2 linked regions of the Tribolium castaneum genome follow. The protein of the gene in region 2 purifies or fractionates together with the protein of the main gene of each other region. This does not show direct contact. Links are inferred from orthologs where the notes say so. Each region holds a gene or a part of one and is shown on either strand. Other genes may lie near its edges.

The links.
Region 1: the proteins of inaD-like protein (region 2) and yki purify together in Homo sapiens (affinity purification with mass spectrometry; 6 studies listed by BioGRID and IntAct, with this or other methods). This does not show direct contact. The link is inferred for Tribolium castaneum from reciprocal best matches to the Homo sapiens genes MPDZ and YAP1.

The regions. Positions count from the first base shown.
Region 1 is NC_087403.1:7,360,517-7,367,732, forward strand, and holds the end of yki (transcriptional coactivator YAP1-A), read left to right. Parts: intron 1-4,913; coding exon 4,914-5,053; intron 5,054-5,220; coding exon 5,221-5,352; intron 5,353-5,410; coding exon 5,411-5,674; intron 5,675-5,901; coding exon 5,902-6,104; 3' UTR 6,105-7,173; downstream 7,174-7,216. UniProt on the Homo sapiens protein: Transcriptional regulator with dual roles as a coactivator and corepressor. Critical downstream regulatory target in the Hippo signaling pathway, crucial for organ size control and tumor suppression by restricting proliferation and promoting apoptosis.
Region 2 is NC_087396.1:16,497,104-16,504,808, forward strand, and holds the start of inaD-like protein, read right to left. Parts: upstream 4,491-7,705; 5' UTR 4,350-4,490; intron 1-4,349. Other genes in the region: uncharacterized protein LOC103313626, read right to left, coding at 5,339-5,427, 5,481-5,571, 5,628-5,773, 5,825-6,427, 6,476-6,562, 6,610-6,756, 6,815-6,940. UniProt on the Homo sapiens protein: Member of the NMDAR signaling complex that may play a role in control of AMPAR potentiation and synaptic plasticity in excitatory synapses. Promotes clustering of HT2RC at the cell surface.

The sequences.
Region 1 (7,216 bases), on a different chromosome or scaffold from region 2:
TTGTCAAGTATCACATAGGGGTCATTAAATAGGGTGCCAGCATGAGAATAGTTTAATAAAATAGATTTATATGCAAATAACACAAACGTGGAATGCTGTTTTACAAACTGTACTCAGATCTAGCGTTACGTTGTTTTTCTCGAAAATTCAAATGAAATGTTTTAACTCGGACTCAGGTAAGCCAACAACACGAATATCTTTTTGATATATGCTAGAAGGAAAGCGAAGGTCATCTCGTCTGTTGATACGCCATCTTGCTCTTCTTTCGACTACTCTATTTCCAGCATTTCGCATCGAAATCTCTCGCTTCTCGCGATAATAACTGGGATAGGTTTCAAGCTCACACATGGATAGGTTTCAAAAATATAAGGTCATTCGTATTATGATGTAACGGTAGTAACAACGTAGCGCAAGACGCAGCAAACACAAAACACACCTGAGATTAAATTCGAACTTGGAGAGTTTTCTGATAACGGCGGAAATAAGCCTCGTGTTACATAATTGCGCGATTTTCAGGTGCGTGATAACATTATAAAAGCGCACAATACGCATTCCTGTGCTGGGAAAATAAGTTTATGGTCGATTGAGCGAAATTTTCATCTATGCCGATTGTTAAATATTCATTGGCGGGACATAATACTTTGAAATGTATGCAAAATGAGTGTTTTGGCACCGCAATTGACTTGTAGATTGTCTATGGCAAAAATCCCACCGTCTTGCATAAACAAATGACTCTCGTTTGTGTGAATATTGGCAAGAGTTCGAGTCCGGCCCTGCACATGAGTCAGTTGTTTTGTTTGATTGAAACAAATCTAGTTTTTCGCGTGATTCGAGTCGAAAATCGCACATTTTGGCAGTTAGGGCTTCTATTCCACATCCATGTAATTAGTCGCCGAGACGCCTATTTTTAGATTTTAAAATTCTAGGCGCCTAAGTCGGACGTCGAACCTTTTGCCGAATGCACAAGCAAAATAATGAACTTATTTACACTTCTAGCGTCTTATTTATTTGTTTTATTGCTCCACACGTGCGGACCAACTTAATTAAACCAGAAGTGAGCAAGAGGTGTTACCCTCGCCAACTGCGGGACCAAATTTCGAGTCAGCTCATTTGAGCTGTTTCAAACTGGAACAAAGCAGTAGCTAATTAAGAAATTAGCCCTGTTTGTCTTAAAGAACTATTATCACTAATTATTTGTGGTGCGCTCTATTTATTTTAATTCTGTTACATGGTTACGGTCTCGCGTCGGGAAAAATTCGGGCCTTCGTCGGCCATGAAAACTTCACCTCCCGATCGTGTATGAATGAATTAATTAAAAGTAACAGAATACGTCTGTTATGGTTACGAAACGTACAAATCCTTTCACAACGATGGTGGACTTCCGTACGAATTATTAATCCAGTGTTTGGCACGGTCGGCCATTTTCCATGATGGCGTCTGTTTGTATTTTTTCCCAGTGAGTTAACCTTAACCCGTTTAAAATTTACCGCTATTATAAATAAATTCCCAAGCTCGCGAGTTTTAAATCAGTTTCCTATGTTCGCAGCAAGGTGATGAAAAGCCATCCCGCGTCCCTGTTATCAAATCACAAACAAAGGTCCTTGACATTTAAAATATGTCGCTGAAGTACTGTATTTTATTTATGTGTAGTTGAATAAACTAACGGAGCTAATGTCGGCTAAATTTCTCAAAACTTGTAGATTGAATTTAAATTGGAATTTAAAATTTCTGAACGTTTGTACAACATTTCTCTGAATAAATTAAATGTTCTGTTTTTACTTGAAATAAGTGTGGCTATATTGTGATATTTTTAGTTTGTGGCGGTATTTTTATCCCGGAAAACCATTGGCGTCGCACAACATGTGACGGGGAATTCGATAATTAACTAAATATGGACTTTTACCAAATCGCACTTTCTTTTCCACAATTGCCTCATTAAAAACCGCGCAACTTATCGATATGTAATAGGCGTGAATTTTTCATTTAGTGGATAATTGCGTCAGAGGCCGGGTTCGAGCGCCGGCTAATTTGTTATTATCAGCTGCTACATCCACTTTCCATGTGATCGCGCTTATCAGATTTTTCGTATCCTGTTGAGACCCATCGAGGTTTTGGGAGTAAAGTTCAAACTTCACAGCATCTAGATTAATGCTGTGTTTTGGTTAAATTAAAATTGATTGGTGGTCTTAAATGGTATCTGACGCATTGATTGTTGAATGTATTTTTCAGAGAGGCAAGTACACGTAGGTATGTGGTGGACTGTTATTAAAATCCACCCAGATGTGGATTCCACTCCTAGGTATTCTCCATTGTCTCGATTGCAAACACGGGTCTTTATCCCAATCAATTATTAGAAAGTAAACGCGATATAACATATCTTTCCTTTGTAACATTTTTAAGGTCATCGCATTCGAGAATAAATAATAAATAGTTGCTCCTTAACAAGAATAACAATTTACAGTTAGGTGCCGTATAAATTTTTCCAAATGATTAACGTCCACTTTTGACCAATTAATTAACAATTGCGCAAACTGCACTGATAAACTCCTGATTAAGGTAACGCTGGCGCCACTGATTCCCACTTGCCGTTGCCGAAATACAAAGCGACGCCATGTTGCCGTTCAATTTACATAATATGATAAAGCAAAACTTTGGCTAATAATAGAGATTTATTTTATTGGCACTGGATCATATTTTCTCCTATTTTCAGTTTTTACAACCACGTGTCACTTCCTGTTGCCTGGCTTGGCCTTTAAAGGTCGATATATCCATGTATCATTGAAAACAGGTAGATTTCTACTTTTTCAATGACTCAGTGCCATTCATTTCGTCTTCCAAGAATATTTGGCAAATCGTTTGTAGAAAATACGTTTCAAGAAAACTTTCCAACTCTCCTCATTGATTTCACCGAACTTCACATTTTTTCTTTCTTTCTTTCGCATTTTCAAATTAAATTAAATCAATTAAATGGGCATGTATTAGGGTGGCTCAATTTCACTCAATGCCAGGTCAAGGGGCGCTCTTATTTACACTACTGATAAAGTTAAAAATAAAACAAGTGTTGCGTTCGACCAAAAATCGTGTGAACCTGACTTTTTCATTACTATTGCATAATTGATTGTAAGGCTTAGGGATAAAAATATTTGCTCGTTTTATGACGTGGCTGTTTGTTCTTTTTTAAATTTATTACCTTTGTCAAGATTTCATATCGCCACGGTTTAATCTTTCCGTGGAATAGAGATAATCAAGTGTTTGTTGTAGCACTTATCAATTAAAAAACGAACAATGGGGGATTATCCACTTTCTGTGTGACGTTTCACGTAAATGTTTGTTTTCCAAACAAAATAAATTGCTGATCCTACTACTAATCTGTATTTTAGCCATTTGTCTGAAAGTAAAAAACTATTACTATTTTTTGTTATATAACGTCTTTATTGTCTATGTGGCTTTTCTCGAAATTATTTGTTATTCTACATTATGTATATTTACACTTCTTTTTTCTTCTTTTCCTTCACCATTTTCGTTTAGAACGTCTAACGTCTCCGTCTCTTCTCCACGTAATCTGCATATTCTGTCTCAATCCATAATTCCATAATTCGTTCTCCCTTTCCTCACTTCCCCTTTTTATCTTTACTTTCCATCTTACTTAAGTATTTGGAGAGTTCATCGTTAATAAGCATGGCATATTTTGCGTTATACCTCAATTCTCTTATGCTTGTTATTTTTCCCTGCCCATCTATGTCCGCATCTCTCAGTTTCAGTTCATCTTCCATTGTTCTTCCCCTTTCTTTCAATTTCTATACACGCATACCCCTTCTTCCATAATTCTATCCATCTAACATTTTCATTTGATGTTTTCATTTCTGCTCCGAATTCCTAATTTCTCTTCAAATTTCACAGCTCTCTTTCCTGATTCCTCTCTTACTATGTACCCCGGCAATTAGCGCTATCACTCATTTTATATACTTTTTCACCAAGCTATCAAACATCATTCTTCTCTTGTATTTTCACCAAATTGACGTTTTCCCAAGCTCCTAAAACCTTATTTGCTCTTTTGGAGCTTCTTTTATATGGGCTGTCTGACATCTTGCTATTTACTACATAACCCAAATACTTCAACTCTTTCACCTGTTCTATATTTTTTCCTTCCAATTGCCACTCATCCTTTTTCCTTTCTATTTTTTTTTTCCAAACACCATCATTTTTGTTTTATCTACTTTTACTTTACGTATCTTTTCATTATTTTTATCATTTCCTTCATCTCGCTCTTGCTTTTTGCTACAATCGTCTGCAAACGCCAGGATTTGCACTTTCTCTCTGCCTATACTGTTCCACCAACTTGTGCCTTTCTTAGAACCTCGCCTATGTCCCCTAGGCCTGATAAGAATAATGCAGAGCTTAACGAACAACCTTGTTTCTTCACCAATTTTTATTTCTTCATAAATTTCCTCTTATTCTTCTCACCAACCACTTGCACACCTTTGGATTATTTTGCTTATCATGCCTCTTCCATGCATTTCTGCTCTTAGTCTCTCATCTAGTAAACAGTAATATTTTTCGCTTGATGTTTGTCCCCTTTCTTGTAAATTGGGATAATTAGTCCTTTTCTCCAATCCTTGGGCAGGTAAAAAACTGAAGGTTTTTGTTGGTTGCTTTATTACGTACTGAATAAAGATTGGTGATCTTGAACGTTATTTCGGATAAACAATGAAATATTTTGGCACTGTGGTGGACTCTTGCGAATACCGTGGCTTTTGTTTTAAGTTAGAAAATGAAATTCTCCTTAAAATTCAATTAGTTTCGCATCTTTCTCCACTTTGGAGCGGTTTAAGAATGCCATTAGTTTGTTGGTCGGTAAAACCCTTTCGCATTAGTGGCAAGCACATTGTTTTACGTTGGAATTGCGTTTGCAGCCACATAACTCGGACCACAACTTGGGAAGACCCGCGAAAGTCGCTGGCTGCGCAAGCGGCAGCCCAACAACACCAAAGTGCCGAACAGCTTTTAAGTTCTCATCAGGTGTCGCAGGCCCAAGCCCCCAATTCCACGCCCCGTAAGTAGTTTCGATGGTTCTGCCAAATCTGGTACAATTTGATGATAGAGCCAAATGCAGTTCAAAAAAATCCAAAAGTGGCAGCTCGTGCCTTGTTGAAAGTTTTGAACTCCATTTGCTGATTTGCCTGATCCTGATAATTAAATTGGGGAAAATGTTTTCTCTAGCTGCCAAAGTGAGTACAGACGTAGATTTAGGCCCTTTGCCTGAAGGTTGGGAGCAGGCACAAACTCCTGAGGGAGAAATTTATTTCATAAATCATCAAACACGTACTACTTCGTGGTTTGACCCTCGAATTCGTAAGTTAAGCCACACGGGCGGGAAAGGGGCTTTTTCGATCTGGGATTTTTTTTCCAGCCACACATTTGCAACAGAGATCTCCCGGCACGGCTTCGGTTAGTGGGCAGTCGTGGCCAAGTGGCTCTTTGTCGCAATCCTCGCCGGCTAAACAGCAACAGTTTCGACTACAACTGTTGCAATTCGAACGTGACAGACTGAAATTGCGACAGCAAGAAATTCGAATGCAACAGGAACTTATGATGCGGGGGAGTTCCAACGACTTAGCGCTAGACCCCTTTCTGAACGACCACTCCAGGCAGGAGTCCGCCGACAGCGGCTTAGGTAAATTTTTTGATTGTTGGTGGGTGTTTTCGCGGCGCGGAATGTGCGAGAAATGTTGTTTTGCTTTGTTTACACCGATATTTCCAAATGATTATCATTTCATACTGAAAAAGAATGTGCGAAGCTTTAAATTTGGCTTGGCGCCATTTTGATCAAGAATTCGGTGTTTTCGTTGATCAATAGCGTTCTGGTCACGCAATTCTCCCCTAAGGGTTATTGACTTGCAGGTTTGGGGACGACGTATTCGATGCCTCACACGCCGGAGGATTTTTTTGATTGTACGGAGGATTTAGTGCCTTCGCTCCAACTGGGCGAAGAGTTCCCGACTGATTTGGGCGAGGAGTTCCCGACTGTCATTTTAGACGATGATGTACAATCGTTAATAAATCCGCCGACTACGAAGCCCGACAATGTGCTCATTTGGTTGTAATAAAGTGCCTACTTAAGTAGCTCAGCTTCTACGAATGTTTTATATTGATAGAAATTTAAGACAAAGTTTGGCAGTTGGATGGTAAAGACTGTCGTCTGTATCGTTATTTTGCAATATGTACCATTTGAATACGCTTTAAATGGCAATAATAATCAAAACATATTTTTAATGTTATTATAATTTTACATTTATCGCATTTGTAATTCTCAAATCAGTTACTGTTGGGTATGTTTTTCATACATATGTATTTTATAGTTTGTAATTTTTAAGTTAGAGTTGTAGTTTATGGTGCAGATGATATTTTGTCAGTTTTGGTAAGATATCGATCAAATTATTGAGTACTGAACGCAAAATTCAATATTTATTTATTGTTGTATTAGAGTTAATTATTTAACAATTTTTATTTATGTCATGTATAACTTTTAACCTCTGTTCCAAATCTAACGTTGTGATAATGTTTTCGCAAAATTTTATTAATTGGTAGGAATACTTAACTGTATCCCTATTTAATTTTACTTGTTACTGTATGTGCAATGCACCCCTGCTCCTCCCAGGACCAGACTTGTTGCATCGCGAAGGATTCAACTCGTATAAATATGCTCACACTGAACTAATCCCTCCATTTTGTGCCTTTAATTGGTAACGTATATGTATATATTTTATTGACAACGGTTACTTGTAGTCTTAGTTTTACAATTTCTAAAATATATTTTACACTAACATATTGTAACAGTGCCTTTCACATTTACTCTAGTGTTTAAGTGCTTATTGTATCACCACCAATTGGTACAGCTGTGATTAAGAATCAGAAATTTTGGACCGTTTACAGGTGTTATTAGCTGCAAAATTCACTTCACGAAGCAATACTCAACGCAATCAGTCTTGTGGCTACTAACACTGATTTTTCATTTGTGGGCCAACCAAGCGAAATGTTAGCCGATGAGGGAGCGAATCTTAATTTCAATCAAGCTTTCAGTAAGGAGAAAGGAGATGCCGCTTGATTGGCCTACTGTTTTATTGTGAAATTATTGTATTAGTTTATAATTGTAAATATATATTGGAAATATTAGTTATGAATTTTATTTGATCAAAAAATATGGTTACACTCGTAC
Region 2 (7,705 bases):
TTCAGAATTTCTTAGTGTTCCATGTTACAAACTAGCCTGTTATACTACTACAGTAGAGTTATACTACAGTTCAAGTAAAATTATAAGTGATCATGCCATTTCTTGGGCAGAAGAATAAATACTAAATCACTTAAATATTATAATTATTGATTCTTAAATTGTCGCTTCCTGTCTCAAAATATTGTCTCCTAATTAAATTAAGTTAATTCAAATATGCACTTCAGTTTTGTAATTTTGAATGTGATTTAAAAATTTTACATTTACCTCTTGACAGAGGGCACAAAACTAGATTAAAAAAATAAAACAAAACAAATGCATTGTTAATGATTGCCATGTGCATCTTTTTCCCTCTATTGCGTTTTCAAATTTGAAAACAATTAAACTCATACGTGTAAGAATGGCCCACCTTACTGGGGAGTCTCTCCCTGCGTTTTTTGGCCTAGACACTTCTCATAAACTTAAGTACCCCATATCACCAAGGCGAACAAATCCTCACAAAGCTACAAACACTATTTCCACTTTACGAAAAATAAAAAAAATTAATGTCAATCAGTTGACATTACAAGAAAGCCGTAGCATTTAGGTACTACCATATTTACAAGGCACTGAAGTTTTTATTTTATGTAAAAAGTTTATACTACAGTAAATACTAGTAAATACTACAGAGTAAATGCTTCTACTTCAAGTAAGAGCAAATATGTTTTTTAATCGTGTCACTCACTGTTAAAAATATAAGAAAAGTGTTAGTAAGAAATTTGTAGAGAATTTAATTTCCTTTAAAAAAGCCCCAAAGACGTTAAGAAACGCTGAAGCGACGGATTTGTTTAAGTAAAGGAAAGTTGTTAATTTATACCAAAACTGTAAAAGGTAGAAATATGGTGCCGCAGACTTTTTTATAGCGAATTTAATTTTCTACAACTGTGTTTCTTACACTTTTTTGTATCTTCAACCGTATTCCCAGCGTTTTGATAAATATGCAACGAATTATCCCAATTTGCGTTCCAAATTTGCAAACGCTGCGAATACGATTGAAGAGACAAAAAAAACTGAAAGGACAAAAGTTGTAGTACTACAGTACGCTTGAGCGTCTTTGAATCACTTTGGTGCCTGGTTAAAACTTAATTCTCTACAACTTTCTGTCTAACATTTTTCTTGCATCTGTGACCGTATTCGCAAAGTTTTGAAAAATACGAGGCAGGATGGAATTGGTACAAGTTGTAGTTAGTGTTAGTCCTTTTCCAAGTCCTTGCAATGCCGTTTCATTTTGTTCGTTCGCAGTAAATTTCATTACCTTCCTGCTTTCTCATTGATTTCGAGCAAATTCCATACTTTTCCGAAATAAATAAAATCTGTGGTTGTATCGAGAAGACTTAGTTTTGTGTTTTGTCCTCCCGCGGTCTTATATCTATCGACTTTCGCAGATGAATCTGAAGATTTCAAACGTGAGCCAATTTACTAAAGAAAGCTTTTAGTTCTCAATCCTTCGGATGTTCCGGGAAATTGAACAGAAAATTCCTAAATAAAACACTTGATAGATACCTAAACAGCGAACCGCCAAGAATGTAAATTTGTACGTGGAACGTCTCCGAAAGCCTTACGTAGGTGGCAATACAGCAACCCTTTTATCTCTGCGAGATTCTTGGCTTGCTCACACGTGACATGCCTACCCGACAAAAAACACTTGCCCAAGAAACTAAACAATCGTTGGCGTTTTACAGTACAATTACAATACAAATACACAAAATTATAAATAGTGGTGTATTTTTAGCGGCGATCATTACGCGCGGGGAATAAATTACGCCGTCTGTGCTTTTATTATTTCTTGGTGGTCTTTATGGAGTTGTGAGTTTGTAGGACACGGATGGCATGAAATGGTTCTTTCTCCACGAAACACAATTTTTAAATGATCATATTTCACACGAGAGCGTGATGTGACAGCTTTATTTATTAAGAAAAGATAAAAATGGGCAGAAGTTTCCAGGTCGTTACGCTGAGGTGAATTAAAAAGGAATTTTTACGGACTTAGTTGCGGAAATGTGATTAATAATAAAATAAGATGCTCTCTTATTGGAAAAAGTCCGATAAGGGAAACACGCGAGGAGCAACAGTTTGGATCAGTTCGTGCTTAATTGTAATTAAGCCGAAATGGAATTTTGTTTATTTTATATTTTTTTAAGAATTTTATGAGCGAATCAAAATTTCTATCAGTAATGGAGAAATTTTTGAAATCAAAACTAAACTAAAACAGGTCGCTCAACAATGCGCCAATTTTTTTGAGCGTTTTATATATTGCAAATTATATTATAAAAAAGTTATATAATCTTCTATACTGCAATAATTATTTTACGTAAACCACTGGGTCCACTATACCGCCTTAGGTAACTTAAATTTCTTAAAAAACCGTTTATTGGTTTCAGAAAATATGGTTCACAAAATATGAAAAAAATTACAAACCCGAAAATGGACAATTTTTATTAACAGACATTTTTTGTCGTACGTACTTTGGAAATTTGTAACACTTAAGACTAATGTACACAGCTGCATTATTATAGTTAAATTATTCTAATAATAATCTATTAAAAAATCAGTCAGTATTTTCCAAAAAATTTAGCCATTTTTACAACTTTTTTATAATACTACGTTGTCGCTGACTTCTTTCATTTTTATAAAAAAATCTATAGATTTTTCTGTACTGTGTACTACTGAGATTTTCATCGTAAATTTTCTATAAAATAAATTGAAACCATATCTAAAGTCTTCTTAAAATTCATTAACCAAACAATTAGGAATTTAAAAAGTAAAAAAATGCGAGAAAAACAAAAAATCTGATCAAATGGTTTAAAAAAATTCAACCCTCTAATTACTAGCTTTTAATTAATCAAAATAATAGTTATTTATTGTATGTGTTTTAGAAAGCATTTTATCCACGCAAGACTGAATAACATTCTTAAGTGGATAGAACGCGACTAAAACACGTCGCAATACAACGTTTTATCCACAATTACCAAATTAACAAAATAGAATTAATCAAAGTTAAATTTTAATTTTTTCATTATTTCACTAGTGGAATAAAGTTACTTTATTCGACTAGTGGATAATAGGTCTCTTTAGATGCTTCATAAGGGTGGATAAAACTCCAAATATAATGTGATTGTGGAAAAAAATATTTTTGCCACGCCTAAACTTCTACCACCATATGCTATAGCCCATTTAGCCCGTATGTAAATATGCTACTGACCTAAACGAGTGCTTCATTACAAAAAGAAGAAATAATAAAAACAAAATTTTTAATAGTGGATACGTAGAATGCAAAAAATTATATGTAACTAATCAAATTACAAGAAAAAAATTGCAAAATAAAATTTATCTCTTTGAATTTAAAATTTTGCAACTATGAAAAATTTGTTCTCGTATTCAAGAATAAAAAACTGTTTCTACAAGCTAATGAATAATGTAATGTTTCTTATACCATTTATATTACGCGGAGATGTATGTAAATACATACATGAGCCGTTAATGTGGTAATCTACCCTTAAGAACAATCCGATTTCGATTAAGATTATGTAGATTAGATTAGTGCGATAAAATTACCAATAAGCTACTTGCATATGTAAATATTTTAATGTATTATTTAATTTTAGGATATATTCGTGTTGTTTAAATAAATAATACTTTAATTATTATTGTTGTATTTTTTACTGTAATGCATTGATTGTACAATGTTGTATATTTGGTTGCCTACACGAACAATATTAATACATTTTACTCTCCTCTTTTGAATTTGTTTTTTTTTATGAGAATAAACGTTTATTTCAATTTTTGAATAAGTATATAGTCTTCTAAACATTTAAGTCTGTATTAGCGTGTTCGGCTAGGTATAAAATCGTATAAAATCGAGTCCAATCAAATATCCCTTATGGCATTGTTCCAAAGTTTTCAATAATCCTCCTCGTCTCGAATTATCTCCCATTACCGTCCATACATCGCATACAGCATCCCCATTAAGCTAAAGTATCTCCGTTAGTTTGATTTTCCGGGTAAAAAGCGCTCACTTCGCCCCTAATTGAAATAAAGCGACAGTCAAGCAAACTTCCTCAAATGCAATAACCGAAGCATAATGCAAATTAAATGAGTTCTTGCTCATGACTATTTCATCTCCCAATCCATTTACTAGCGGCTATCGATTTCAATTGTATATTTATAAGCGTTTGCTCTTATTTCATTCACGTTTAATTTACTTCAAGACGCGAAAAAAAAACGCGCTTATCCGATTTTCGCACCATGTGCTTGGGGCTCCTGAATCGATAATAAAGCGACGAACGTAAATATACAGAGCAACATAAACAAACCTTGAGTGAGGCGGATCCGGAGTCAGCTTCTTGGACGTCGTGTAATGTGTGCAAGTGACGACGGAACACCAAATCGCGGCGCCGGTGCACGTCGCGACGCCTTCGCGGACTGAAACGGGATTCCGGACAAGGGCATTATAAACAACGCGCAGGGCAACTGTGCGAACAGGGATTCTAAAACTGTCGGCGTTTTCCGGGAAAGTCGATGGGAAAACGAGTTTACACTCCACTCTCATTAATAATTTAAACAAGGTTTTTGCACCCTCTCTGATGATTTTTCTCATTCATGCACGATTCAAACGCAAAAAGGCATTGCCAGAGTTGAGTTCCATAGAAAACTACTTCTGTAAAATAGTGAAATGTTTCCCAAAATACTGAAAACGGTTGGAAGGCATTTAACGCTGCACTTAAGTTTTTATTGTATTTAAACAATGATTCTAAATGCAAATAACTAAAAACGATATTTTTGAAACAATCAACAATCCTATTACATAGAAAAGGTTGTTTGGGTTTAATTTACATTCACTTGATGAAATTTTACAGTTATTAATAATAGGAGTGCGAAAACACAAGCTTAAAGTTCGAGGGCTGTCTTTTACAACGAGCGTATGCGAGAACCTTAAGCGTTTTCGCATAGGTGTTATCATTTTATTTGTTGGAACATTTTAATTTAAAACAAGTTGCTATGGGGAAACGTGTTTTAAAATAGTGTTTATAATCTAGAATTCAGGTATTAAAAAGAAGGCTTAAAATGTTACCAACAAAAAAAAGGAAACATATTTAAGACACCACAAAAACGATTCAAAACATATGAAAATTAAAAATGATATATGGTTTCACATGAAATAAAAACTCATTTTATAAGTTCTGTAAACTTTTTATTAAAGATATAATATTCATATTCTTAATGAAAAGTATAACTAAATAACAAATGAACTCGATAATGTAAGAAACACTACTAACTAAATTTGTCGCCAAGAGTATCATTATTACGTCGGTTTGTCCGCATAAGCGTCTTTGAAGAAAACCAATAGCAAGGGCTTAGTTTTATTTTTGTTATCTATGTAATATTCCGCTCCTGAAACAAAACTCCGTGCAAACACTTAAACTCAAACAACATACCCAAGTTACCTTGTGGAACAATGAATATGTCATGTTTTTTATACAAATCACACTTGTCCTGTATCCCCACCTCCGCTTTTCCTTCTACAACTACGAACGACTGAAAATAACCTGGTCAGTAATGAAAACATTCAATAAAATCGTAAGGCAAAATACCATAGTGTGATTCTTAGTTTTAAATAATGGCTTTGACATTCCTCCGCTTATCTTCAACCATCCCAGTTTTACAGCTTCCGTCACAGCGTACGTGACACCAGGCAAGTTAGCGATCGGTTTGTACACCGGATTTTTGAAACTGTATCCTGTAAAATTAATAATAAAGAGAGAAATTTTTAACTACAAATTCGACTCACTAATAAGCTCATTAGTTGCTGGACAGATCATGAAATTACCGCTTGAGTCGCGTTGAGTCTCGACTACCTTTTTCAAGGAATCCCTAACTTTTTTCGCGCTGGTTTTGGTACTAGACCGTTTAGATATTCTTCCAGATATAACAGAATTTTTCTTGATACTCTCTTGTGCTTGCAACGGTGGTGAAGAAAAGACGGTGTTATGAAGTTCTTCAGAACCAATGTTCCTTGAAGTAATTTCTTCTAGTCTTACAAATGGTATTTGAGTGTTTTGTGCAACATTTTCTGCACTAACATAATCGGAGGTAATTACATTTTCTCCAACAATGTAATCACTTCTGGTTAGATTTGTCTCCGATTCAGAAACAGTCCTAGTTTCTTGACGTTTTGGGGTCTCATCTTTCTTAAGTTTCTTACTTGATTGTTTTTTAGCCGGTTTCTTAGTTTTCCTTTTCGACTTTTGAGTATTACCTTCCATTTCAACTTCCGACTCCATAATTGGTGGCATTTGAGTTATACGAGTACGCCGTTTTTGTAGTCCCGAAAGTCGAAATGAACATTCAGGCGTTACTTGTGATATATGCCTTACCGCCGTTGCGACTTTATCTATAAGAAAACTATTCAAAACAGAGAAAAAATGTGATTAGGTTTTACAATATCTGTCCCTTTCAGTGCATAGGATGTAACCAGCTGAATTAATCTTTGTTTGTTTTCGTTGCCTTCCCGATCTCCTTTGCATACCTAAAATACACAGTGACTTAAAAAATACAAAACAATTTTAAACTGACATCCTGTTGTGTCGTCAGTTGTCGTTTCAGTAATTCCTGTTGTACTTTGGGCTTCAGACTTCGTTGTAGAACGTTTTGTCTGCTTTTTTCCCTTTTTATTTTGTGTTTTCCTCGCTGTACTTTTTTCAGCTGATTTATTAACGCTATCTAAAAATAAGTACAGTAGGTTTCGCAACCACAAAAACGAGTTTCACAAGCAACTTACTATTTAGTGATGGTTTCTGTTGCAAATTGTCCAGATTCGGTGCACCGAAATTAGTATCCTGATTATTTGATTCAAAAAATGCTTCAACTTCGCGTGACGTTTCTTCATCACTATTAGTCATTACGTCTATAAATGAAAATGCAAATAATTTTTTCATGAAAAATACAATTTTCAGAGTTTCAAAAAATATGCAGGGTGTTTCAGCGACTTCAAAAAATTCGTTACTGAACTTAAATGTGAGATTTATTTCCCAAAGCCGTAGATACTAACCCAAAAATTATTTTCAAATATATAATTTTCGAAAAAATATTTAAGAATTTTAAGAAACCTCTTAATTTTTTTATTTTCTTAGTTGCAAAAAACTAAAACGAAATGATATCCTTAAAGCTAGAACTTTCTTCTTTAAAGTGGTGGACCCTTATCTAGGGTTCTTAGTTTTTGAATACTAATAAATTTTTAAATAAAGCGTGTTTTCGTTAAAAAATATATTTCAAAAACTAAGCAAACTCGATCATTAAAAGTTTAGGTTAAAATCATCAGTTTTTAAAACTATATTCACAAACGCAAAAAATATGGGGTGTCCCATTAGCTGTCACAATTAGCTATTATATACATAAGTAATTTTACTCATGCACTTCAAAGAAATAATACTCATGTAATTTATACTTTCAATTAGATATCTACTCATTAAAAACTATTTTACAGTTTTATCAACCTTTTTTAAAAAAAATTAATCGGTAAAATGCGACGTTGGCGTTTTTATAGTTTTGAAACAGCTTGTAGGTAGCTCATTTCCGAAACAGTCTTTAATTTCGAAAATAATTTATATGAGTCAAGGGATTAGTATTTTGGGCTTTCTAACATTTAATGGTCAATAAAAGATTTTTTCTC